4 linked regions of the Yarrowia lipolytica genome follow. The protein of the gene in region 1 interacts with the protein of each later gene in a pairwise test. Links are inferred from orthologs where the notes say so. Each region holds a gene or a part of one and is shown in the gene's direction. Other genes may lie near its edges. The genes, in order: YALI1_D13226g, YALI1_F28550g, YALI1_D05222g and YALI1_C09851g.

Region 1 (5,560 bases):
TCTCTAGAAACACAACGTTCTTGTAGACGACAGACTTGCGGCAAATACTGCACTCCCCCACCGAATCAGAGGCCCGAACCCCCGAAGAAAGAGCCTTGAACACGCAGTCCCCGCAGTAGAGATGGCCGCATTCCGTGACACAAAGCCGATCTGGCGGCTCGAGGCAAATCGGACACTTGACCTCGCGCAACTTGCTGTGTTGATCTGGCGGAGGAGCCGACAGATCGAGCCCGTCGTCGTCGTTGCTGTCGTAATCGGAGGCGTCGGAGGCATCCAGATCAATCACATTGTGCGTTTCTTCGTCTCCGGAGTCAATGTACAGTGGCTGGGACGAGTTGTCTGTGTCTGTGTCGTTAATGGTGAGCATGCGCGATTCGGGCGTCGATGCAGAGCTGTGGACAGAAAGCGGTGTCCCGGACATTGCCTGTCGCTGGACTTGCTGCCTGTGTACTGTTTGCAGTTTGGTATGGTGTTTTGTTGGACTAAAAAACGGACTCTGTTTAGGTTTAAGCACTGGGCTTACTTGGTTCGGAGTGTGAGATATTGTTAGGAGGCTAAGGCGGCGGGTAAAGCGGGATGAAAAAAGAATAGTACTACTCATTTGTGAACGATCCAAGCCATCGCCTTAGATCACGTGACTAGAAGTCACTCCGCACTCCTCGTTATGCAAGATAACGTTATCTTACAGCAACACAATGTCAATCAATATACATAATCGTTCATTCATCATATATAACTAACAAATCTAGTTCATCTTGGAGATAATATCGTTAGTGACCTGCTCGGTAGAGGCAGATCCTCCGAGATCGGGAGAAAGCAGCTTGCCCTCAACCAGGTTGGCGTCGACAGCCTTGTAGATCTTGGCGGCCTCCTCAGGGTAGCCAAGGAACTCCAGCATCAGAGCGGTGGATCGGATGGTGGCAATGGGGTTGGAAATACCCTTACCCTCGATGTCGGGGGCAGAGCCGTGGCAGGGCTCACCAATGACAAAGTCGTCGCCAACGTTGGCAGAGGGGACAACACCCAGAGAGCCGACGAGGGCAGCGGCTCCGTCGGACAGAATGTCTCCGTACAGATTGGGGGCAACCACAACGTCGAAGAACTGAGGCTCTCGGAACAGTCGGTAAACCATGGAATCAACAATCTGCTCGTTGATGATGATGGCATCAGCAGAGACGCCCTCGGCCTTGAGCTCCTTCTCAGCGGAGGCTCGGGCAACCTCTCGGAAGAGACCGTCGGAGGTGGACAGCACGTTAGACTTGTGGGTGATGGTCAGAATGGGCTTCTCGTGGAAGAGCTTACCGCCCTCGAGCTTTCGAACCTGCTCTCGCTGCAGAGCGATCTTGGTGGCGATGGTGGCGATCTTGTCGGTGGCTCGCTCGGTGATTCGCTTGATGGCCTCGGCCACCTTCTGGCCGTCCTGCTCGTAGGCACGCTCCTCCTTGATGTACAGATCCTCAGTGTTCTCTCGCACAATGACGAGATCGACCTTCTTGTCGGTGGCCTGGACGGCCTTGACGGGTCGCACGTTGGCGTACAGACCCATCTTCTTTCGCAGAGCGACAATGGGAGAGGAGTAGCCTGCGACCTTGGTGGTGGGAGAGGAGACAGCACCAAAGAGGGCACCGTCACACTTTCGCAGCTCGTCGACGGTCTCGTCGGGCAGAGCGGTTCCGGTCTGCTTGAAGAGCTCGAAGCCGGCCTTGAGGTCAACAAACTCGAACTTGAGCTTGTTGGACGGCAGGTTCTCGAGAATCTTTCGGCCAGCGGGGATGACCTCTCGGCCAATACCGTCTCCGGGGATAAGACCTGGGTTAGTATAGGTAAAGAATGGCTGAAGCTCTGGAACGAAAAAAAAAAACCACTTTTCCGTTGCCGAATCGAGCAAAATCTGGGGTGGCATCGGCCATGCCAGGGTATGAGTCACACTAATGCTTGTATGATCCTTCCGTGTCGCTTGATTGTGCTACTCACCAATCTTGAGAGTCTTGGCTCCGGTGGAGTACATTCGGGTCTGGAGTCGCATGGCTCGGTTGGCAAACATTTTGTCGAAGAGAATGGAATGACAGTGTCGAAGAAAGAAGGTGTGCGACGGTGGGTTTTGGTCAATCAGTCAGTCATCATAGAGTTTGCTAATGCACAGGCTGCAGCTCAGATCCGAGTCGGCCTCTAGTGCAGTTCCTGACTCTGCAGAGAGCAGCTGCAAGTTCAATTCTCGCTAAAACCAACCAATTGTCCATATTAATGGCCCCTATATATCAATTCCATCTCTATAACGACCGGATCACCTCCAAAATACCATGTTGCACTGGTCAACGTCAATTCACATGATTTGGAAGAAAGACAGCTATATAGTAGCTCCCAGCGAGCCTATTTCGGAGCATTGAGCGTTGAAAGTGTCACTTGTACCTTAAAGTGTGCGCGGTTCGAGTCTCGGTGTGAAGGAATAAAGCACTGGGAAAACTTCAAGACAAGATTGTAATCATCAACAACTTATCACACAAAAGCACGGTAAAAGTACAGCACATAAGTAGTTGTATTTGCACGGTAATCTGGCCTGATCCATCGTATTAAGCCGAGTAACATTCACGGTATAAGGTCAGTACAATCTCCGTTGTTTCATTGATGCTGTACACCTCCAATCCTCCAATCCTCCAATCGACGTGTTTGACACCGCCAAACTTTAAATAGCTCGTTGGTATTGCCAGGGAGAACGGTTCCGAAGGCAGTCGTATAAATGTGTGAGAAAAGGGTCTACACACCTCCGTTCAAAGTGTCACGTGACCCTGGAGATGTACTGTACCACCATCCGTTTGTCATTGGAGTATTGAAAGTCCAAAAGCCGTCTCTAAATCTGCCCACCAGCCACCCTCGCCCCCTTTATACTTGTCTGCACACCTGTGTTACCCTACCGACGCGTTGTGGTTAATCCCAATTGGGAATAGTGATTTGTCGCGTTTTAGATTAAAACACGTCCCTCTTTCTTTTCCTCCATCTACACCACCACCACAGTAACTCTTCCAACACACACACACATCTAACAATGCTTGAGGCCAAATTGAACGAAGCTGCTCTTCTCAAGAAGGTGAGTAAGACAACCGGCAACGGAACATCAATTTGTGTTTGCATACCCCTATTCCTTGTCTTTACTAACCCAGATCATCGATGCCATTAAGGACTCCGTGACTGATGTCAACTTTGAGTGTTCCGAGACTGGAATCGACGTACAGGCCGTCGACTCTTCACACATTGCCCTGGTGTCTCTGAAGCTCGGATCCGACGGCTTCTCTGACTACCGATGTGACCGAAACATCACACTCGGAATCAAGGTGGCTTCGCTTGTCAAGATTCTGCGATGCGCTAACGACCGTGACGCCCTGACCCTTATGGCTGACGACAACGGCGACCAGCTGCGGCTCACCTTTGAGGACTCCAAGTCCGAGCGAGTGTCTGAGTTTGTGCTCAAGCTCATGACGATCGACCAGGAGCATCTCGGAATCCCTGACACCAAGTACGAGTCGGACATCACCATGCCCGTGGACGCGTTCCAGAAAATCATGCGGGATATGTTCATGCTGTCCGAGTCTGTCAAGATTTCGTGCGACAAGGAGGGCGTCAAGTTCAGCTGCAAGGGCGACGTGGGAGACGGATCCGTGCTCATCAAGCCCTCTTCCTCGGTCGACGACGAGGGATCTACCACCATCGCTGTCGAGACCCCTGTGTCCATGGAGCTCAACCTCAAGTACCTCAACAACTTCTGCAAGGCGTCGGGCCTGGCCCAGAACGTGCATCTGGGCATGTCTTCCGAGGTGCCCATCATGGTCGAGTACCTGCTCCCCAACGGCTACCTGAGATTCTACCTCGCTCCCAAGATTGGCGACGAGGACGAGGAGGACGAGGATGATGACTAATGGACACGACAGTAGAATAGGCTAGTATAGGCGCATTAATTATAGGAAAGATTATAGAACACGAGTGACTACAGTAGTACATTTGTAGTGAGCACATCGGGAGCACAGTTGGAGAGAATGGCCTTCCTTTTACTACAGGAATTGTAGTAGCACTGGAAGTACCTGATCCGGTTTGAACAGTATGGTAATGTGCACACTGTACAGTAAGTAGATGAACGGCAGTATACTGGTAACAAGACCAAACAGTTGATAAGTCTACAAGTACAAGTACAGTAGTACAGTATGTACTGGTGCAGTAGACAAACCGACCTCTGATGTAACGCCATTCTAGTTTCAGATCAATATGTTTATGTGGAAAGTGGCTGTAAATGGGTCGTGATGGAAAGCGCAGTGTACATCATACTACATGAAGATACCGTTGTAGCTGCTGTGGAACAGTGTCAACCACGTTCCAGAGTGACAGAATGTTTTACTGGTAGATAAGCAGGTGACCAAGGACTGGTACATCTCCCTCTGCTTACTAACCATATCCTTCTCAAGTCCATCCGCTACAGTCTCACTTGTGAGACATCTTCGGGAGTCTTTAACTTAACAAGCATGTACAAGTGCTATTCTGGTACGGACAGCATGGTGCCAACCTGATAGGACGACACGCCGAGCTGCTGAGATTCTGCACCTCTTCTGTGGTTGTCTTTGTGGGTTGTACAAGCACTCGTTAGTTCTCTACTAATGACCCTGGGCACAGGTGCACGATACATGTGGGTTTTGATGCTACTTGTATACATATTACAAGTGTTGGTAGGTGGTCGTGCAGTATCTTACCATGGCGATATTTGTAGGGTTCAATGTCTGATGGCTCGTCTGCCACCACCAATTTCTTCGTTCTATTCTAGAGTTGTTTTCAGGGCCTCCGGCTAGCTCCAATCTCGTGCAGTATGTTACTCGTACTGGTGAGTTAATAGGGCGGTATTGTAAAAGAAGAGCCCAACTAGACGCGTCCACAATAGGCCTTGAGCATGAGTCTATAGGGTTGTTAGCGTATGGCCATGTCTAGTTCCATGGCGTTAGCGTGCTTTGTGTGGAGGAGGCCACGTAGCGTGTACTTGGGAGGGTTGCCGACATCTTCGTCTTCTTTTTCGTGTCATTTTCTCCTCCACACACCCATCCTTTGGCTGCTACGTACACACGGTCTATGTTCCTCCACCTCAATGTTATTATGTGGAAACCTACGGGTCCATAAGTCTTCCCCACTGATCACCACTCGTATCTTTACCAGGCGAACTTTCTCAGGCCTGAACCAACTAACCGGGTCTCACAGGTGCGGCTTTTTAGACGACCCGGTGCGAGTGTGGAAGGAAAAAAAAATGCAGTCACATTGCGGACCACGACGATGACGTGTTCTGTTACACAGACGCCGTCACCCAACGCATAGACTACAAGTACGTTCTTGTGGCACCACTTGCTCGTCTCTTGTTACACTCTACTTCACTTGCCGGTTGGCTCTTCCCCCACATGCCGATCTCTACACCCTTGTCAACTAGAGTTTAGGGAAATGCACAAGCGGGATAGAGTTAAGTATCCAGACCAAATATGGGTGACGGCATCCGCGGGGGCTCTCTCTCAACCAAGCCATAAAAGAGTCGGTAGTC
Region 2 (6,050 bases), on another chromosome or scaffold:
TGGGCAGACAGTCAAGGTTCTCAGGCTCTTCCTGCATCTTTTCCAGGTTGGCCCCGGTCTCGAAGATTTCCTCCTTATCAGATTCAGTCAGTTTGGCCAGCTTGTCGGTCAGAATCTCGTCCTCCTTTTCCTGCACATTCTTCTCATAGTCGGGATTGGGGTTCATCTGAAAGTGGAAGTACTTGTTGTCGAGCAAGTACTTCTTCATCACCTTCTGCAGGAACTCAGGGTCGGCCTCCATGTCTTTGTTGAACCGATCGAGCACAGAATTCCACTCCAGAGCCTCCAGGGGGTCGACCTGGTTAAACCAGCCAGGAAGAACACCGTTCATAAGAGCCATACCGAACTTGGCGTTCTGGTCCTTTCGAGCAAGCTCAGTCTGATGCAAAAGACCGTCGATTCGGCCCTTGTCGAAGCCCTCAGCAACGGTAGTCTTGATGGTGTCGAGAATAACAGTCTCGACCTTTGTAAGATCGCTCTCGGTCACTCCCTGAAGACCAACAGAGAAAATGTTAGCTCCAGGAGCACTGTCAAGGCCAGTGTTGGGAGAGTAGGAAGATCCAAGACCGGAATCAATCAGCTTCTGATGAAGGGGGGAAGAATGACCGTCAATGAGTAGAGAAGAGATGATCTTGACGCAGAAAGACTCGTAAATGTCCTTGGGAGAACCCATCAACCACGACATGGACATCTTGTGCTGCTTAGACGTATCCAGAAGAGTGTCAATAGGACCCTCTTCAACGATACGGGTGTTCTCAGCGGCAGAAGAAAATTCGAGAGGCAATCTCTCGGTGTTTCCGGGAGTTTTGGAGATCTCACAATTCTCAAATTTGGCGTTCAGAGCCTCCAAATGGTCAGCAACAGAGATATCTCCATAAGAAAACGTCTTGGCGTTGCTGGGGTTGTAGTGATCAGCATGAAACTTCTTGAGACCCTCGTAGGTGAGTTCGGGAATAACAAGAGGGTCTCCTCCAGAGTTGTTCAAACTGGGGTAGATCTTCTCCAGGTACCGAATGTAGAAAGCGTAAGCAGCATTGGACATTTGACCTTTCATCTCGTTGAAAACGACACCCTTGAGGATGATGGGACTGGTCTTGTCCTTGGAGTCCTCGTTTTCCAGTCTCCAGCCTTCCTGAGAAAAGTCCAGCTCTCGAAGCAGAGGCTTCAGGGTAGCATCGAGGTACACATCTCGCAGATTCTTCATGTCGGTAGCGTTGGTGGTAGCAAAGGGGTAAAAGGTGTAGTCCTGGGCGGTCATCGCGTTCATGAAGTTGGCAAGAGATCGGTTAAGCATCTTGAAGAAGGGATCTCGGACTTGGTACTTTTCCGATCCACACAACGTTGTATGCTCCAGAATATGGGGAACTCCGGTTCGATCGGGAGGATTAGTCTTGAAGCCGATGGAAAAGACGTTGTTGGAGTCATCTCGAGCAATGTGCAGATGCTGGGCTCCAGTGGAGTGCTCTAGCAGGGTAGCCTGCAGATCAAACTCGGGGATCTCTTTGGTTCTGAGAACATTGAAGCCATGGATATTGTCGCCGACAGAGAGAGTGGGTGCGGAGGTGGTGGCGAAACGTCGAACCACGGCCTGGACCGGTTTTTTGAGCGACTTTAGACGTAACATGGTGGTGGAAGAGAGTGTCGATGCAAGTCTCGATTTTAGATAAAAGAGTGAACAACTCTAAATGATTTATAATAGTTGGGGGAAGGTAGCGACGAGGCGGTGGTCACATTACAGGAAAACAAATATGGATTGATACCATGTACCATGAGTGATCACGTGCCATGAGTGATCACGTGGACAGTTTTCGTAGTCAGGATTTCCGTCTGTGGGTTTCTGGAGAGTTGTTAGAGCGTCAATAACCGACATCTTCCTCGATGCGGGGAATAGGGTAAGGGAGAAACCCGTGAGGTGGCAAGACGAAGATTAGTAATATTTATAATGAGTGGAGGACTGATCACGTGATAGGATTCTACGATCGTGTGGCTAACTTATGCTTGATGGGCTCGTGGCGGTCGAGAATGATTTCTTATCTGTCTTTTGAACACTCCTGGTGATGCATAATTAGGTTGCAAAGGTCTGGAATACTGATGGAAGAAATCGATTTCAGTGTCGCTGCTAAGACGAGGAGGGGACTTACAGAGAGAAGAATAACAGCATTAAAAATAAGGGTGCCTGTAGCTTTCGATCTATATAAATAATGTACTACAATCTCATTACGTTGCTTACCGTAAACTGCGATTATTTCCGTAGGTGCTGTGTTGAGGTTTTCAGTGGCGACTCGCCAGATTGTCAAAACAGGCTATTCGAGTCACAACAGAAGACGTAGGCTAGCTACTGTATTTAAAACAAGCATCCTAATGAAAGTACTTGTACTCACCTTGTAGGTTGCGGCTCCCAGCAACCAACAACCACAATTATTTACATGATCTGACAATTCAGTCAAATGTTGGAATCAGCATACTCCCGTGAAAATGTGGACCTTGCATTTCCAGGGCCTGGACTGTTTCGGTGGGTGTTTGGATCGCAGTCTCGCCACCAGACGTTTCTTTCCACCACCTTCGTAGACCTGATCGACTGTTTATAGCGAGAAACAGTGGGTTCTGTTTGTGGTGTGTAATTGTGGAGGTCAGGTTGGCGTCGGAGTTGGGACTATTAATAGGTTCAGGTTATGACAAGTATTTTTAGCGACTCGCACAGCATGTACACTATGAATAAGAGAGATGCACAGAGTCAGTGAGAGATTAGAGATAGTTGAACAGACACGTGACGAAAAATATCTCGTGACCTATTAGTTGCAATTGAATTATATTTGGTAACGTGACACGCTCACGACTTCCGCGTTCAACTAATTACCACTTCTGGACGCGTCTCCCAAATCATTTCAATTAAGCTCTTGGGTACGCGTCGTGAAGGCTGGGCCTTGTAACCTCCTTCTTTCCTCCACAACACCATGGACAGCTCTCCAATTCGACTCATGAGCGCAAGTGAGCAGAATGCAGGATGTGACAAGCCTGTAATGGCCGACAACAAGCCTCTGTGCACGATTACCACGCCCGAACCGTCACCCAAGCGTCGAAAGATCTCTGCCGAGGAGAAAGAAAAGATGCGACTTGAAAAGGAACAGATCAAGAAGCAGAAAGAGGAAGAGCGAGAGCAGCTTCGAAGACAGAAGGAAGAAGAGAAAGAGCTACTGAGAAAGCAGAAAGAGGAGGAGAAGGAACAACTGAGGAAACAGAAGGAGGAGGAGAAGAGGGGGCTAAAGAGGAGGAAGAAAGGGAAAGAGGAGGAGAAACGACGACGAGAAGAGGAACGAAAGAAGGCTGCCGAAGAGAAGGAGCTTGAGCGAGCCAAGATTGCAGAGGAGAAGGCTAAGTTGGCTGAAGAGAAGGAGGCCAAGAGACTTGAAAAAGAAGCTGAACTCAAGAAGAAGGAGCAAGAACAGACTCGAATCATGTCTTTCTTTAACAAGAAGACCAAAAAGAAGACCAAGAAGGAAGCTGTTAACAGTGACAAGTGTTTGGACTTTGATAAAGACTTCCTACCCTTCCACATCAAAGATACCGTGTGTATGGCAGACAAGACGGAGTGTGAAGTGATGGATCAGGATCCTGTTGACTGGCTCAACAGTCTCAACCTTTCTGATGACAGCAACACCGCCGAAGCAGAAGAACCACCTGTTCCCGTCAAAACCATCATTACTCACATCCAGACCGCTGCCACTCTGGGTCTCAATCCTGATAATTACAACGGTACTCCTTTAGACACGCTGGTCAATGCTCTTCCTAGACGATACTTGCAGTTCTATGGTGACGAGCGACCCGCATACCTGGGCACGTACTCCAAGAGCTGCTCGCGTGATCTGTTGCAGAACCCTCTCTTCCAGGTGCCTGGTTTGGACTACGAGTACGACAGTGAGGCCGACTGGGAAGATGAAGGAGAAGATATTGAAGATGATGAAATTAGTGGAGACGAGGAGATGGAGGACGACGAAATGGCCGACTTTGTGTGTTCTGATGATGCCAAGAGTCCCAGCACCATGACTTCAAAGGTCACGACAGCCCAGGAACCTGTTGTTGTCTGGGGCTGCTCAGATATGGTTGGTATGACTTTTGGAGGACTGATTGTCCAGGGGGCAATTGACCCATTCAAAGACTATTGGACTGTTGCAAAAGTTGAGCAGAAGACCGATACTAAGAGTGACGTGACAATGACTAGTGCGACATCAGCTTCTGGTACAGCTATTAAATCTACTACAACCAAAACCGAACTCAGCCCGTTTGCAGTCCTCTCCAAAACTCTGTCACCTTCCCCAGCGGTTGCTTCAGCCACGAAACAGTTTCTGGCTGCTGCCAAGCCTCAGAAGCTCATTGCTGGAGACGATCTGACTGCTCTTTTGAAGCGAGTAGATGGATCCGACGATAACAAGACGCTGTTGACCGAGCTGCTTTGTAAGCAGTATCCCCAGTACACACGCAAGATGGTCACGGCCACCATTCAGCACTATGCTGAGCGACAGGGTCCTAAGAGCGACAAGCGGTGGGTTCTGAAGGATATCTAGGCCGGGGAATGATGAGTTCTGCTGGAGTACACATGACGCAGTAGATAATGAATTAACGATGAACTGATGATTCAATAATGAAACAACTGTGTGAGAACGATGGCCGAGGCCTATACTCGTAAAGTAGTACTTTTGTGCTTGATTCCACCGCCGCACTTAAAGGGACGTCAGAAGTAAAATTGGTACAGTACACTGAAATACGGTCACGTGACTCGATCCCACCTCTCGCCTCTCGGGTAACGTATAGCCGATCCATCCTCATCCTCATCCTTTTCTATGTGTAGCTGCATTGCACCTCCATTTCAATGTCGTACTTATACCAGGTATTTGGGGTTGACATCCTTGTACAGTATTTAGGCTCAGTGCAAAATGGACCGTGAACCCAGTTTCGATCGCTCTTTCGACAGGCTCTGGTCTACAAACTCTTACTGTACATCGGGCAAATCAAAGAAGACAGAGATACCCGATTGGCAGATCGACACAAGTATGGTTTGGCCGGAATAAGCAAAGGCGCAAAGTGTAATCAAGATTTGAAAATTGCTCATCGTGGAAAAAGAAACGGGGTGGGGGACATTTAATTGGTAGTGAGTGGTAGAGGTGGTGATATATACTGTGCACGGTTGTTCTATTAAATGGAGGTGAGCGACTTAGACCTTTGGAGTAATAAGACTGTAGTTGTGAAATGAAGGCTTCAGTTTACAGCAGTACATACTGTAGCTGATTTAAGCCTCCTTAGCGTATGAGCGAAATGTTTCGATGTAGCGCTTCAGATGGGATATTCCCTTAGGAACGTACTGTGATAAACGGGAACTTTAACAAAAAGAGGAGTGGATTATTGGGACGATTTCCTCGCGAGTCGGCAGTCACGAAGTTCAGTGGGTATTTAGATATGTGATCATTATCTGATGGGTTAGTCTGAGAATACCAAAGAAGTCGTCGAGTGAAGACTCATACTTTTCACCTCCGTAACATGTGCTGATGTTCTCGATTGATGAAGTCCTTCGTTTGTCAAAACTATTTGTAGTTGTCTGAAGTCGCGGACTGCTGAGTCTACTTGTGCCTTCCTGCGGATTACGATCTCCACAACAATAGCTACTCTTACTCAATACAACAATTAATCAATTACTTTTGGACGTCTTTCGACAATAAATAATGTCGTTTACACGACACATCATCAACGATACTCCTCCCCTTGATTAAGCCCACTTCGCCAGCAGGGCCATGAGTCCGGCTCCGGCACACATCCAGGCAAAGGCCCAGAAGATTCGCCAGTTGTTGGCGTGCTTGAACTCGGACGAGAACAAAAACTCGTGGGCCATGAGCTCAACGAGACCGGTATACAGCAGGATACCGGAAGACACGGAGTCAAAGATACCGTTGGTGATAGAGGCTGTCTTTCCTCCAGGAGGGTAGGTCTTTCGCACACCGAGACCAATGGCAATCGCAATGGGGGTGGTGAGGCCAAATGCCAGACCAAGGATCCAAGGA
Region 3 (5,589 bases), about 800 kb from region 1:
GGGTGGAAACCACCGTCTCCTTGGGGGTGGAGGGCACGGAGGGCAGGACAGGGGAAGACGTTCGTGTTGAGGCAATGTCTTCCACGTCGGAGGCGGCCATGGACTCGTCATCGTCCTCCTCGACCGCGTCGGGGTGGATTTCCTTGAATCGCTGCCACTCCCGCTCCGTCTCGGACGCCTGGAAGGCCTCCCAGATGAGATCGGTCATGTTGCCCAGGAGCGACATGTCCATTCGCTTCTGGACAGGCTCGGGCAGGTTGGACACAAAGATGGCGCCCATGACCAGGTCGCCCTTGGGCGAGGTGTTGGCAGCATCGGACAGGCCGAGGGCCAGATGGAGGTTTCGGTACTCCCAGATGTAGGCCTCAGGGTCGGAATCGCATTTGAGACGGGCAAACTTGAGAGCAAGGTCCTGGTCGGTGTTTTTGGTGGGGCCAGCAGAGGACATGTGTTTCTGGGGAAGGCTCGAAGTAGTTTAGCGGAAAGAGTCCGGTTTATATGTTTTTTTGCTGTTTTTGGTGGTGTGTGGGGGTGATATGATGCCGTGTACAGCTGAGTGTGGGTGTAACGACGGAGATTTCTCTCAGATTAAAAAGGGGCGTAGCAGAGTAGCACGATTGTGGGCATCCAGATAAGCGAATATCTAGATGTGGGGGTGTTCTTGTGGAAAGGAAGGGTCAAGAGGATAGTACCTTGTCGCTTGTGACCTGGGTACTGACTTGTAGATAGGTGAGGAGAGAGAAGGGAGAGAGTGTAACTGAGACTACATTACATGGTGGGAGCGTGCAAATAGAGTTGGCCGGGCTACAGTCTTAAGCAATTAGTGTTGGAGCTAAAAGCCCACTTGTTTTGACAGCTGGGTGTTCGGCCGAGTAGAGCTGTTTGTTAGTGTCGGGGAGAGATTCTATAGACGGTTGGTCTGTATGGATGGCTATAGCAGCAATGTAACGGTAGATTGGACATGTGACCTGTCAGATCAGGTGATGGAGTTGGCTAGTCGAATGGCTTGGCTGATGGTGATTCTTACGCTACACGCGTCTGTACGTAGTCATACTTGTGCTGCTTCCGTTAGATAATATTTTTTTACACGTCCAATCTTGCAATCCTGCTGCACTCTTGCACTTGCCCCAGTTACTTAGATGAAGATGCCGCGCATGACAAGAGTGCGCCAGCCAAACAGTGTTACGTGGTACCGTAGTCCCGGAAACGGATGCCTCGCAGAGGCAGCGAGTGGATGTACTGTACACGAGTAGTACAGACAAGTGTTATTCCGTGAACACGTGCCATATCAGTCTCAGTCTAGCTTCAGGTACCGGCTATTTCTCACGTCTTATTTGCACACGTCTCCACAGCCATATATTATCTTTCTTTCATAACTAAATCTCTCTCCTCGTACTCAAACTTAAGACGTCACTATTGGCTTGGCAACACCACAGTGGCAGAATGAACAGACTCACACGGCTGAAGAATGGTGGGAATGACATGTGGAATGAGAAGACGCACACAGAGTGCAAGTAATCAGTATGACTGGATAGAGAGGTTTTATTGAACAAGAGTTAAGTCGTTACTTCTACCACATAGGCTAACATATTTTTATCCCATCCCTGTTCATGGTCTCACTTAGACCCCGACAGAGTTTGGTCATCTCATGGGGCCAACCCGATAATATCTATACAGAGACATACAGGGGACTGTAGAAATTCAGCTGGTTGGTGACAAGGAAGACAGATATTATACGTTTTCACGTGACGATCAGCATGTCACCGACACAAAGAAAAATGGCTATATTCTTCCAGGTATGTACGATACACTATCTAGGCTGTATTCTCCTTGTACACTCCTGGTCTATCTACCAGTGTGCTTTTACCCGATACAGATTCTTGTTCAGCACAGTGTTGTTAGATATCATACTGTGACATAGTTTGAAATAAAAGTACTGTACGATTTTCTATGGTGCCTGAAAGACACCTGATTGCATTCAATAATACTACATATATTACTGGTAGAATTCTCTCATTAGTACCACGAGTACCAAGCATAGACTTGGGTCATATTCATGTTCATCATGCCGTTTTATAGCCACATTAAACCACCTCTTTCTAGCATCAGTACCACGCACGCCCCGAGAGCTCAGCCTTCTTTGTATGGCCGTTTCGGTTACCCCTATTTTTTGGCGCCTGTGGGTACCGTTGCTACAGTAACCTAAAGCGTAAAAAACAAAACATTCACGCTACACGACGCCCAAACTTTTTCGCGTTAGAGTTTTTCACCCCGTTGGGTCATGTGATAGCCACTGTCTAGCATCATCTCATTCCGTACTTGTGATTGGTCCCGAACACGTGTCTCAATACACACACTCAGGGTTTGAAAGCGGCAAAATGATGCAATAATGGTGTTGTATGTCTCGGCTTTTGAGTCTTGAGTGTAGGGGTATCATTGTGCAGTGGAGTTTATTTGGTGGTGCAGATGACAGATTGTTAGTTACTGTACAGTATAGATAGGGTAGTTCGTAGTGGAATAATATCAGCATAAAAATTACTGGAAATTGCCCCAGAAAACCACAGCAAACAATATATTGTGTCTGTGTAGCGAGAAACGCGTTTCTTAGACTGTAATATTAAAGTCCGCCTGATGATATCAACGTTACAGTGTGTGGATTCTAAAGTGGAGACAGTGTAGCTTTGTCATCAGGTAATCCCCAGCACGGCCAGCACGGGGATAGTGAAAGTTGAGAACAAACATCGCGTCAGAGGGAGTCAAAAATGCTTCTCCTCAAATGGCACCATTAACACCATATTATCTTGTTAGATTACTGATGATTAACATCTAAATTATCCAGATATTACTCCGCTGTGTGGATATTGGATGTGCCTTGGATTTGGTGCATCTGCTCTCATGCAGGATTCGGCAGTACTTGCCCAGTACATGATCGTATTGAGCAGTTGAGGAGTGTTTACTAATATGTCGATAGATCAAGAGTCATGTAATGCCTTAGTAGCTGAACATGATATATATTCCAGATTCATGAAATCAATCGGCATTCTTCATTCTCTAGTTGTAATCATTGTATCGTACAGAATCCTACAAGTAGTCATATATGCACCACCAAACTCAAACGCGAAACTAATTATGCGCATGTCTTCTTGCATTCACCACAGTTCATTCGAACACCACTATGAAAATCACTGACGCGTTTCAAAAGGCGCCCATCCTGGCCACGACTACCAAGACAGTTGCTAACGCTTCATTCGACCAGTCGGCCTGGCTCAATGGCCTCAAACCGGCCGATAAGGAGCTACTGGACACGGAGATCACCCATATTCACGACTCGTGGTTGCCACACCTCCACAAGGAGATCAGCAAGCCGCAATTTCTCAATTTGAAAAAGTTTCTGGCCTCCCGAGAAGCTGCCGGAGTGAACATTTTCCCGCCCAAAAAGGACATTTACTCATGGACCAGTCTTACTCCTTTCGACAAGGTCAAGGTGATCATCATAGGACAAGATCCCTATCACGGCAAGAATCAGGCTCATGGGCTGGCCTTCTCCGTCAACCCACCCACTCTGCCGCCGCCGTCCCTCAAAAACATGTACAAGTGTCTCAAGAACGACTACCCAGACTTTGACGTGCCTGCCAAGTCGGGTCTATTGACCCCGTGGGCCGAACAGGGTGTTCTAATGCTCAACACGGTGCTCACGGTTGAGGAAAAGAAGGCCAATGCGCACAAAGACAAGGGTTGGGAGGCCGTGACCTTTACAGCTCTGTCAGCGGCTGTCAAACACAACTCTGGCTGTGTGATTTTGGCGTGGGGAAGCCCTGCTGCCAAAATCGCAGACAAGATGAACATTGACAAGAGCAAGCACCTGGTGCTCAAGGCCGTCCACCCCTCGCCATTGTCGGCACATCGAGGATTCCTCACGTGTGGACACTTTAAGCAGGCCAACGAGTGGCTTGAGAAGCGGTACGGTCCAGAGGGGATTATCAAGTGGGGTCTTGAGGGTAAGACAGTTGGCAGTAAGGGGACTAAGGAGGCCACCACTGACACGGTCAAGGAAGAGCTTGCTAAAGAGTCTATCAAGGAGTCCGTTGAGACAGTTAAGGAACCTACTGAGCAGTCGTCAGTCAAACCGACATCTGCGAAGTCCACAGCACCACCATCATCACAAGAAAAGCTAGACCAACTCCTGTTGTCTGTGCCTGATGTGGATGATGACGAACTGGACGATATCCTGCCTCCCCCCAAGAAGCAAAAGGTGTAATTAGTGTATATAACGAAGGTATCGCACGACATTATGGTATTGAGCTACTTGCTGAAGGATCGGCATGGGTGGGTTGCGTTACACCGGTTGGAAATATGACTCCCAAGATCACAAGGCTGATCACTCCACTCTCCAAACACGGTTTAAACACTCCTCCTCTGAGACACGGATTTATCAAAATGCGGGGTTTTAATACCTCACGGATCGATGCTGTTCAACGAAAAGGGATATCAAATGTTTTCTTGTATAAACCACTCCAAAGCACAAGTTTCGAATATGTTTTTATCCCTGTGTAAACGTCTTGCTCTGTCGTGTTTGACTCAACTCAACAACCAAAAGCAAGTCAGCCCTGCATTGATACGACAGAGGCACATGATTCAAGTAGCTGTAAGCGATGGTTCAACGGTGTGTCTGAAAAGAAGGCTTGAGGTGTTTTCCAGACACGAGCTTCACTTAGGCAACTAACAGCTTACAGTGGTACCGGTAGTTATACCCATACCAAAATGAGAAGTTATGGCATTTATGTCTTCAGACTACAACAGGGGAATGCCGTACTACCGTACAATAGTGCAACAAAGGACAACTCCCAGTATCTCAAGCCACCCTCCAAATACCTCAAGAATCTTTCAACTGCCATCTCAACTTGTGCTCAAGGTTCAACTAAAGAACCCAGTGCGACTGATCTGATGATATGGGGTAAGCGGGGAGATGTAGATGATCAGGTGGAAATACAGAATGACAAGGAAGTGGAGTCGCTACGAGAACTCAAGCTTTTGTGATATACTAATAGAATACTTCCAGGGAAGATCAGCTGCCTTAGTACAGTACAGTACTTGTACACTTCTTTTTTTTCTATACTCTGGTTGTCATAACTTTCCAATAATACGGTTCTAGGATGAATCAACCTAAACATAATCTCCCCTAACATGGAACCTGATCATCACCTGATTCTAGATAACGAGAAGAGAAGCAGTATAAAAAGATGGGTATCTTGGTGGTTGTGATCCACTCATCGAACAATCCCTACCACCAACAAACCCACAACCACAACTACTACAATTATGGAACACATCAAAAACTTTTGGGCTGCCAAACCTCAGTACAAGGAAGTCGAGTACGCTGATCAGAGAGACAAGACGTTTGTGGTCACGGGAGGACTGTCTGGAGTGGGAATGGAATGCGCTCGTCTGCTTCTCAAGAAACGAGCTCGAGTCGTCATTGTTGGACGAAACAAGGACTTTGCCAGGGACTTGCTGTCTGAACTAGCACGGGACATTCCCGAAGGAGAAGCTGCGTTTGTGGAACTCGACTTGGCTGACCTGGAGTCTGTC
Region 4 (6,181 bases), on another chromosome or scaffold:
GAAGCTGGAGCCGACTCGCCCATCAGCACCGAACGCAACACCGCTATCATCAAACTACTGTACAAGTCGGGAGATCAGGCCGACATCTCCAACTACAGGCCTATTTCTTTGATCAACACAGAGGTGAAGATCTACACACAGCTCATTAACAAAGCCATCCAGAACATTCTTCCGGACAGCATTCACGGCGCCCAAAACGGTTTCGTACCGGGTCGACACATCACTAACAATCTCGACACCATGGATCATTTTTGCAACGCCTACTCCCAGCTGAACATGGGTTGGGTCGTAGGATCACTGGACTTCCGGAAAGCCTACGACACTATCAGCCAGAGTTGGGTGATAAAGACGCTTCGAAATGTGGGTGTCTCGGAACTGATGATCAACCGTATCCTAGCTGTACAACAGAACGCAGTAACGAGAATCAACATCAGAGGTGTCCTATCTCGCCCAGTCCGCATCAAGATCGGAGTGAGACAAGGATGCCCTCTCTCTCCAACCCTCTTCATCATCGCAGTAGACGCACTTGTGCGTCGTCTGGACCGAGAGATGTTTGGACTGGCCCCAGGCCTGCCACTATCCCACCACCACACCACTGGGCACAGGCCGCCACAACCCCCTACTCACCCGGAGGCAGTGGCAGCTGGACACATGAAGGTGTCGGCTTTCGCGGACGACATAGCGGTGTTCCTCAACAACATCCAGGACGTGGCCACGGTTGGTAGAGTGCTCTGCCTCTTCCAACGGGTCTCAGGCCTCACACTAAACCCGTCAAAGACGGTGCTTCAGAAGATCGGCCCCCCCGATTGTTTTGTTCCACTAACCTTTATTGACGCAGAATGGCAGCGAACAATTGACGCCACCTGGCCAACCGACAACAACACACGACAGGCCCCGACGCTCCGGACATCTGACAACATTTTCCGGTACCTCGGAGTACACTTCGGAAATCGCGAAAGGTTGGACACGCACTACGCTCAGATCAAGGAGGACCTCAAGGAGTCGCTGCGACGCCTTTCACTATGGGGTCTCCCCTATTACAGCAAGGCGTGGATGATCAACATCTACTTCTTCTCGAAACTGAATTTCCTTGGACCCTACGTCAGCCAGATCGACAACACCTTCATCCGAGAGCTGAACGAACTAGCGTGCGACAAGATCAACAAATTATCACCCGACAAAACACGCAAAACCTTCAGCAATGGTTTCATCCAAACTCCGGTAGGCAGAGGAGGACTGAACCTGCGGGACATGGGACGTTTCATGGTGTGCCTGAAGGCCGCTCGGGCTTACAGGTTCTTCCATGGCTCATCGCCGGCCCTTTGGGACTGCACCTTCCAGTTCTACAGCAGAACTCACAGTCTCACACAGGAAAAGCCACACCAGCGCGTCGACTGCCGCTTTCCGACAGGCCAAGCTTGGGGCTACGCAGCCTCCCCCACCATGCGAGACGCAATCAGAGCTTCTTTCGAGCTCAACAAGCCCCTCACCGCGGAACATGCCAACCCTCGAGAAGATCACGAGCCCTCTACAACAGACACAGTTAATCACAGAATCTGGGAACGAAACCAGGTGAACGTGAGAGCAGCAGAATCTTTCCGGGAAGCACACGTCGACATCGCAGCCGCGAGACGATACCATCCGGTCAGAATGGTGTCCACAGCGGAAATCGACCACCTCCGGTGGAGCATGGGACCACTTACTCTAGAGAACTTCATGTTTCACAAGACCTCGTCTCCCGACTTGCCAAACTTCCCACACACACTTGCACGACCGAAGAAGTGGACTCAACGAAGCGACTACGGGGGCATCTCTGACGACATGGTCTGGCAGGAGGTAATGCATGACCTTCGAAAACACTACATCGCCGACGCCAACAAAGCACAAGTTCTTCACCTCATGCGGATATCTCGACTTCCGCTCGTGAAATGGAGATACCCTGACGACCACGTTTTCACCAAGAAGAATCCAGGATGCGGGCTCTGTGATAAGGCCATCATTCAGGATCTGCACGAGCATATCTTCTGCAAGTGCGAAGTTCTTCTTTCCATGTTGACCAGGATGAAGATTCCGTCAGTGGACTCTCTAAAGGACTGGATCTTTACCGAGTCGAAATGTGGAGTACTCCCCTCTTTCCCAGGGCATGTGAACAGTGACGCCCCCCGGAAACATCAACAAGTCAAGACACGCAAATATCTGCGGGAATTGGCTTATGGGATCTGGAAGATGGAGAGATCCCTCCGGTACTCAGGGGACGACGCCACCCTGGGACATGTCCAACAGGGTTTGCTTCAATTCCTGAAGGAAGCCCAGATGTGTTTCTACGATGGACAACCGCCAGCACTTCACGATGAGCGAGAGTAGACACAGTAGCAAGCGTAAAAGGCGGCCGAGGCCACCGAGAGAACAGCGTAGCAGGGCGCGTAGTCACCACAGGGGACGCAGAACCAAACCAATGACGAAGAAGAACCACAAGGAGAAGTTTTCAAAGGCAATGCAAATGAAGAGGGCAATGGAAGGATTGAGATTAGAGAACTGGAGACTGGAGTGGCGTTTTCCCGATGAACGAACAAACACGCGAAGCTATGTGGACCAACATACAACACGGACTGAACCAGGTTTTTTTATGATTTTTTTACTGGAAATAGGTACGTGCCAAGTTGGACCATGACACTAAACGTGTTTAATTAGTAATATTCGTGTAAGCGTACATTCATTTCAAAGGTTATTCTTTCACGGCAAAGTTATAATTAAATGAATGTATATGCAGAAAAAAAAAAAAAAAACAGTGATACTTAGAACAGCCCTAATTACTGTAACAATGGTATCACTCTATATATATGACCCATGAAAAAGACCCAAAAATACAACAGACCCTGAAACCAGACTGACCAGTTTATTCATCATAAAACAAACGTATACACATTTTCACTCTCGATAAAATGTTCCTGAAACGAAAGATACTTGCGGGGATCATGAAATCAGCCCAATTTGACCAGTCAATCGTCCCTACAAAAGAGTGATACGGCTGATGGAGCATTTTCATGCCCCAAATGTCCCCATTGTTACACGTGCACGGGAGCAGTTATATCACCTGTGGTGCGTATATTGGTGATATCTACAAGTAATAGTATCTACTTGTATGTGCTGTGCATACAATAGAACATACTGTATTTTAGCCGCTCAAATAAACTCTGCAGAAACTCCAAACTCACCTCCGTGATCTAGCGATAGCACCCTACAGTAGCTAGAGTCCACATGCAGGACCGGTCGCCACATGAGATTCGTCACGTTCAACATCTGTGGCATCAACAACGTGCTGAGCTACCATCCATGGAACGAGCAAAGGTCGTTTGAGCACATGTTTGCGGTGCTGAAGGCGGACGTGATCTGTTTACAAGAAACCAAGCTCCAGCCCCATTTGCTGAAGCGAGAACACGCCCTTGTGCCCGGATACGATTCGTACTGGTCTTTTTCCAACACAAAAAAGGGCTACAGCGGCGTGGCGGTCTATGTGAAACATGGCATCAAAGTTCTCAAGGCCGAGGAGGGTCTTACCGGTCAGCTGGTATCTCCGGACTCCAAAAAGGGACTCACCTACCAGCAGCTGTACGAGCGGCAAAGGGAGAGAGACGGCAGCAGCAAGAGTTGTATCGGCGCCTATCCCGAGGGCAATCCACAGCGGCTCTTTCAGGTCGATTCGGAGGGCCGGTCTCTTGTGTTGGACCTGGGGTTCTGTGTCGTGTTTGGGCTCTACTGTCCTAGCACCGCCACCGAGGGCGAGGAGCGAGATGCCTACAGAGACGACTATTTTGGGTTGCTGGAGGAACGGGTCAACCTTCTGGTTGAGGCTGGACGAGAGGTGGTGGTCATGGGAGATCTCAATGTGGCACGCGAGCTGTACGACTCAGCTGAGGGAATGCAAGCGCTGCACAAGGCCAAACACATCACTCTACCGACACTGGGAGATAAGGAGGAGGGCAGGTTTGTGGAGGTGTTTGAAAAGCTCAACCCGGGACAGTGTAAGAGCTGGAGGGAAGCCAAAGTTGGCCGACGAGTCTTCCACAGACTGGTCCCCGACCTGTTACAGGACTCGTGCCGCGACAAGCATCCCAATCGACCCGACATGTATACTTGCTGGAACGTGATGATGAACTACCGGCCCGGAAACTTTGGGTCTCGTATCGACTACGTGCTGGCCTCAAAAGGTCTGAAGGTGGAGGATGCCGATATTCTGCCCCACCTGGAGGGCTCAGACCATTGTCCCGTTTATGCAGAGGTGCGCGAACCAGACGCGTGCCAAGAAAAAGACAACCGTGCCACTCAAGGTGCAGCTAACCAGACCAAACAAGCGTCGTCCTCAGCCCCAAACTCGTTTCGGCCAAAACTGTTCCACAGAACTAACAAGCAGTTTGTGCAGACCACCTCGGTCATGTCCATGTTCCGGGCACAAACGCCGCCGACCAAGGGCATTACCAAACCCAAAGCGCCCTCCAAATCGACTGCCAAAAAACAGGCGGCCATCTCCTCCTTCTTCCAAAAGCCAGATCCAGAAGCTGCCGTCGTATCAACATGCGTCTCGGATGTGCACACAAAGCCGTTGGGACAATCACAATCACCCGCCGCGTCCCCAAATATTGAAAGGACCTATCAAGGTTGCGATGCAGGTGCGCATGCGACTCGAGAGGGTGAAGATACGAGACCGCAAATGGCCACCAGACTGGACTTGCCAGAGCCCACCGAGTACCTAGACATTGCGGAGCGCGTGGAGGAGGCCGAAAAGGTCGCGTCGCAGTGGTCCAAGATCATGACAAAAAAACCTGCCCCCGTCTGTGCCCACAACCTCCCGGCGGTGCTAAGAACCACCCGCAAAAAGGGACCCAACCAGGGCAAGCACTTTTGGGTTTGTGGCCAGAACCACTCGCTGCAGCTCGTCGGCGACTCCTACAAGGCATCGGCAGACCCCGACGCCAAGGGCTCCCAGGACGACACCAGTGCCAGATGTAACTTCTTTCAGTGGAAATAAAATTAAATTATAATACCGTTAGTGTGTCCAATGATAAACGTACAGTGAGTACAGAAAATTACCAAGCTCAACCCAGTGTGGCATGCTTAAAAAGCTGCCTGTTGGTGAACGAGCGAGTAGTCAAGTCATCATAAGGAGAAACGAAATCATCAATATCCAGAATGTCAAAATAGTCCTGCCCATCGGGAGGCTGCCGAGGGACGTGCTGCTCCTGTGAATCTGATCTTGGTCCTTGCGATGGGAGAGTGATATCATCCAGGGGCATCATGAGGAATTCTCGAGTAGGTGTATCGAGAACAAAGTTGGGGTCATAGCACGTAACGTGAGAGTTGTTGCTAAAGAAAGCAGTCATTGGGCTAACAGTCATCCTTCCCCCGACACCAACGGTAGGGCCGACCAGTACTTGGAGAGCAGTAACCTTGTTCTTACCCTTTGCTCCCTTTTTCTTAGACTTAGTTGCACCCTTCTGGACCTTCGGCTTCTTTGGGGACTTGGGCAGTTTGTTCGGGATATACTCAGGATAGTCGACTTCGTGGTATAGGGCTTCGAAGAAACCCATATACTTGAACCATCGCCGAACAATAGGATTGGGGATTCCCGAGCCCCAGATATAACTGGAGACCCTCGAAACAAATGCTGAGTTGGGATCAATGCTCTGAGAGCATCTGGATGTTGCATTTCGGAACAAGATGTAGCTGTTCCTAGGTTTCAGAACTTTGGGTTCAATGTACTCAGGCTCATTCGTTCGACTGTCTTGCCTGATGAACAGCCCCTTGTGACCGTCATATTGCAAAAAGTTGAGTGATATTTCCAGTCCATTTGGCTTCTGAGTTAGAACCGTACGTGAATCGCTAGTGTCCCTGTCGAATAACATAGCCTCGGGGTAGGGCTGTTCTGTTTGGGGTAGTTGAAAGGAATGAATGTGTAGTATCGTGTTTTCCATTTTGAGGATGTTATGTGTGGCTTGGTATAGCTGATAATAGCCAGCCAAGAGAGTTGCATGTTGTTTATATATATTTGTCGATATGTGTTGGTCTGGAAATACTAGATCTCTAGTTTAGGCAATTGTGATGAGGCAAGAGCCAATGTCGCTTAAGGTGTCTTTGTTCCAGAACCATATGCACGGCGTGCATGAATAATATCGGGGTAAACTAG

The links.
Region 2: the proteins of YALI1_D13226g (region 1) and YALI1_F28550g interact in binary tests that used the Saccharomyces cerevisiae proteins (3 or more experiments, as listed by UniProt). The link is inferred for Yarrowia lipolytica from reciprocal best matches to the Saccharomyces cerevisiae genes POL30 and RLF2.
Region 3: the proteins of YALI1_D13226g (region 1) and YALI1_D05222g interact in binary tests that used the Saccharomyces cerevisiae proteins (3 or more experiments, as listed by UniProt). The link is inferred for Yarrowia lipolytica from reciprocal best matches to the Saccharomyces cerevisiae genes POL30 and UNG1.
Region 4: the proteins of YALI1_D13226g (region 1) and YALI1_C09851g interact in a two-hybrid assay, tested with the Saccharomyces cerevisiae proteins (3 studies listed by BioGRID). The link is inferred for Yarrowia lipolytica from reciprocal best matches to the Saccharomyces cerevisiae genes POL30 and APN2.

What each region holds. Positions count from the first base shown.
Region 1 is NC_090773.1:1,320,233-1,325,792, reverse strand, and holds YALI1_D13226g (uncharacterized protein), read left to right. Parts: upstream 1-3,043; coding exon 3,044-3,085; intron 3,086-3,158; coding exon 3,159-3,911; downstream 3,912-5,560. Other genes in the region: YALI1_D13251g (uncharacterized protein), read right to left, coding at 1-601; YALI1_D13238g (uncharacterized protein), read right to left, coding at 746-1,903. UniProt on the Saccharomyces cerevisiae protein: This protein is an auxiliary protein of DNA polymerase delta and is involved in the control of eukaryotic DNA replication by increasing the polymerase's processibility during elongation of the leading strand. Involved in DNA repair.
Region 2 is NC_090775.1:2,852,144-2,858,193, forward strand, and holds YALI1_F28550g (uncharacterized protein), read left to right. Parts: upstream 1-2,954; coding exon 2,955-4,562; downstream 4,563-6,050. Other genes in the region: YALI1_F28537g (uncharacterized protein), read right to left, coding at 1-1,624; YALI1_F28590g (uncharacterized protein), read right to left, coding at 5,759-6,050.
Region 3 is NC_090773.1:519,107-524,695, forward strand, and holds YALI1_D05222g (uncharacterized protein), read left to right. Parts: upstream 1-3,175; coding exon 3,176-4,258; downstream 4,259-5,589. Other genes in the region: YALI1_D05195g (uncharacterized protein), read right to left, coding at 1-448; YALI1_D05244g (uncharacterized protein), read left to right, coding at 5,320-5,589. UniProt on the Saccharomyces cerevisiae protein: Excises uracil residues from the DNA which can arise as a result of misincorporation of dUMP residues by DNA polymerase or due to deamination of cytosine. Not involved in strand-directed mismatch repair.
Region 4 is NC_090772.1:981,854-988,034, forward strand, and holds YALI1_C09851g (uncharacterized protein), read left to right. Parts: upstream 1-3,277; coding exon 3,278-5,026; downstream 5,027-6,181. Other genes in the region: YALI1_C09803t (uncharacterized protein), read left to right, coding at 1-2,364; YALI1_C09878g (uncharacterized protein), read right to left, coding at 5,094-5,969. UniProt on the Saccharomyces cerevisiae protein: DNA repair enzyme that cleaves apurinic/apyrimidinic (AP) sites and removes 3'-blocking groups present at single strand breaks of damaged DNA.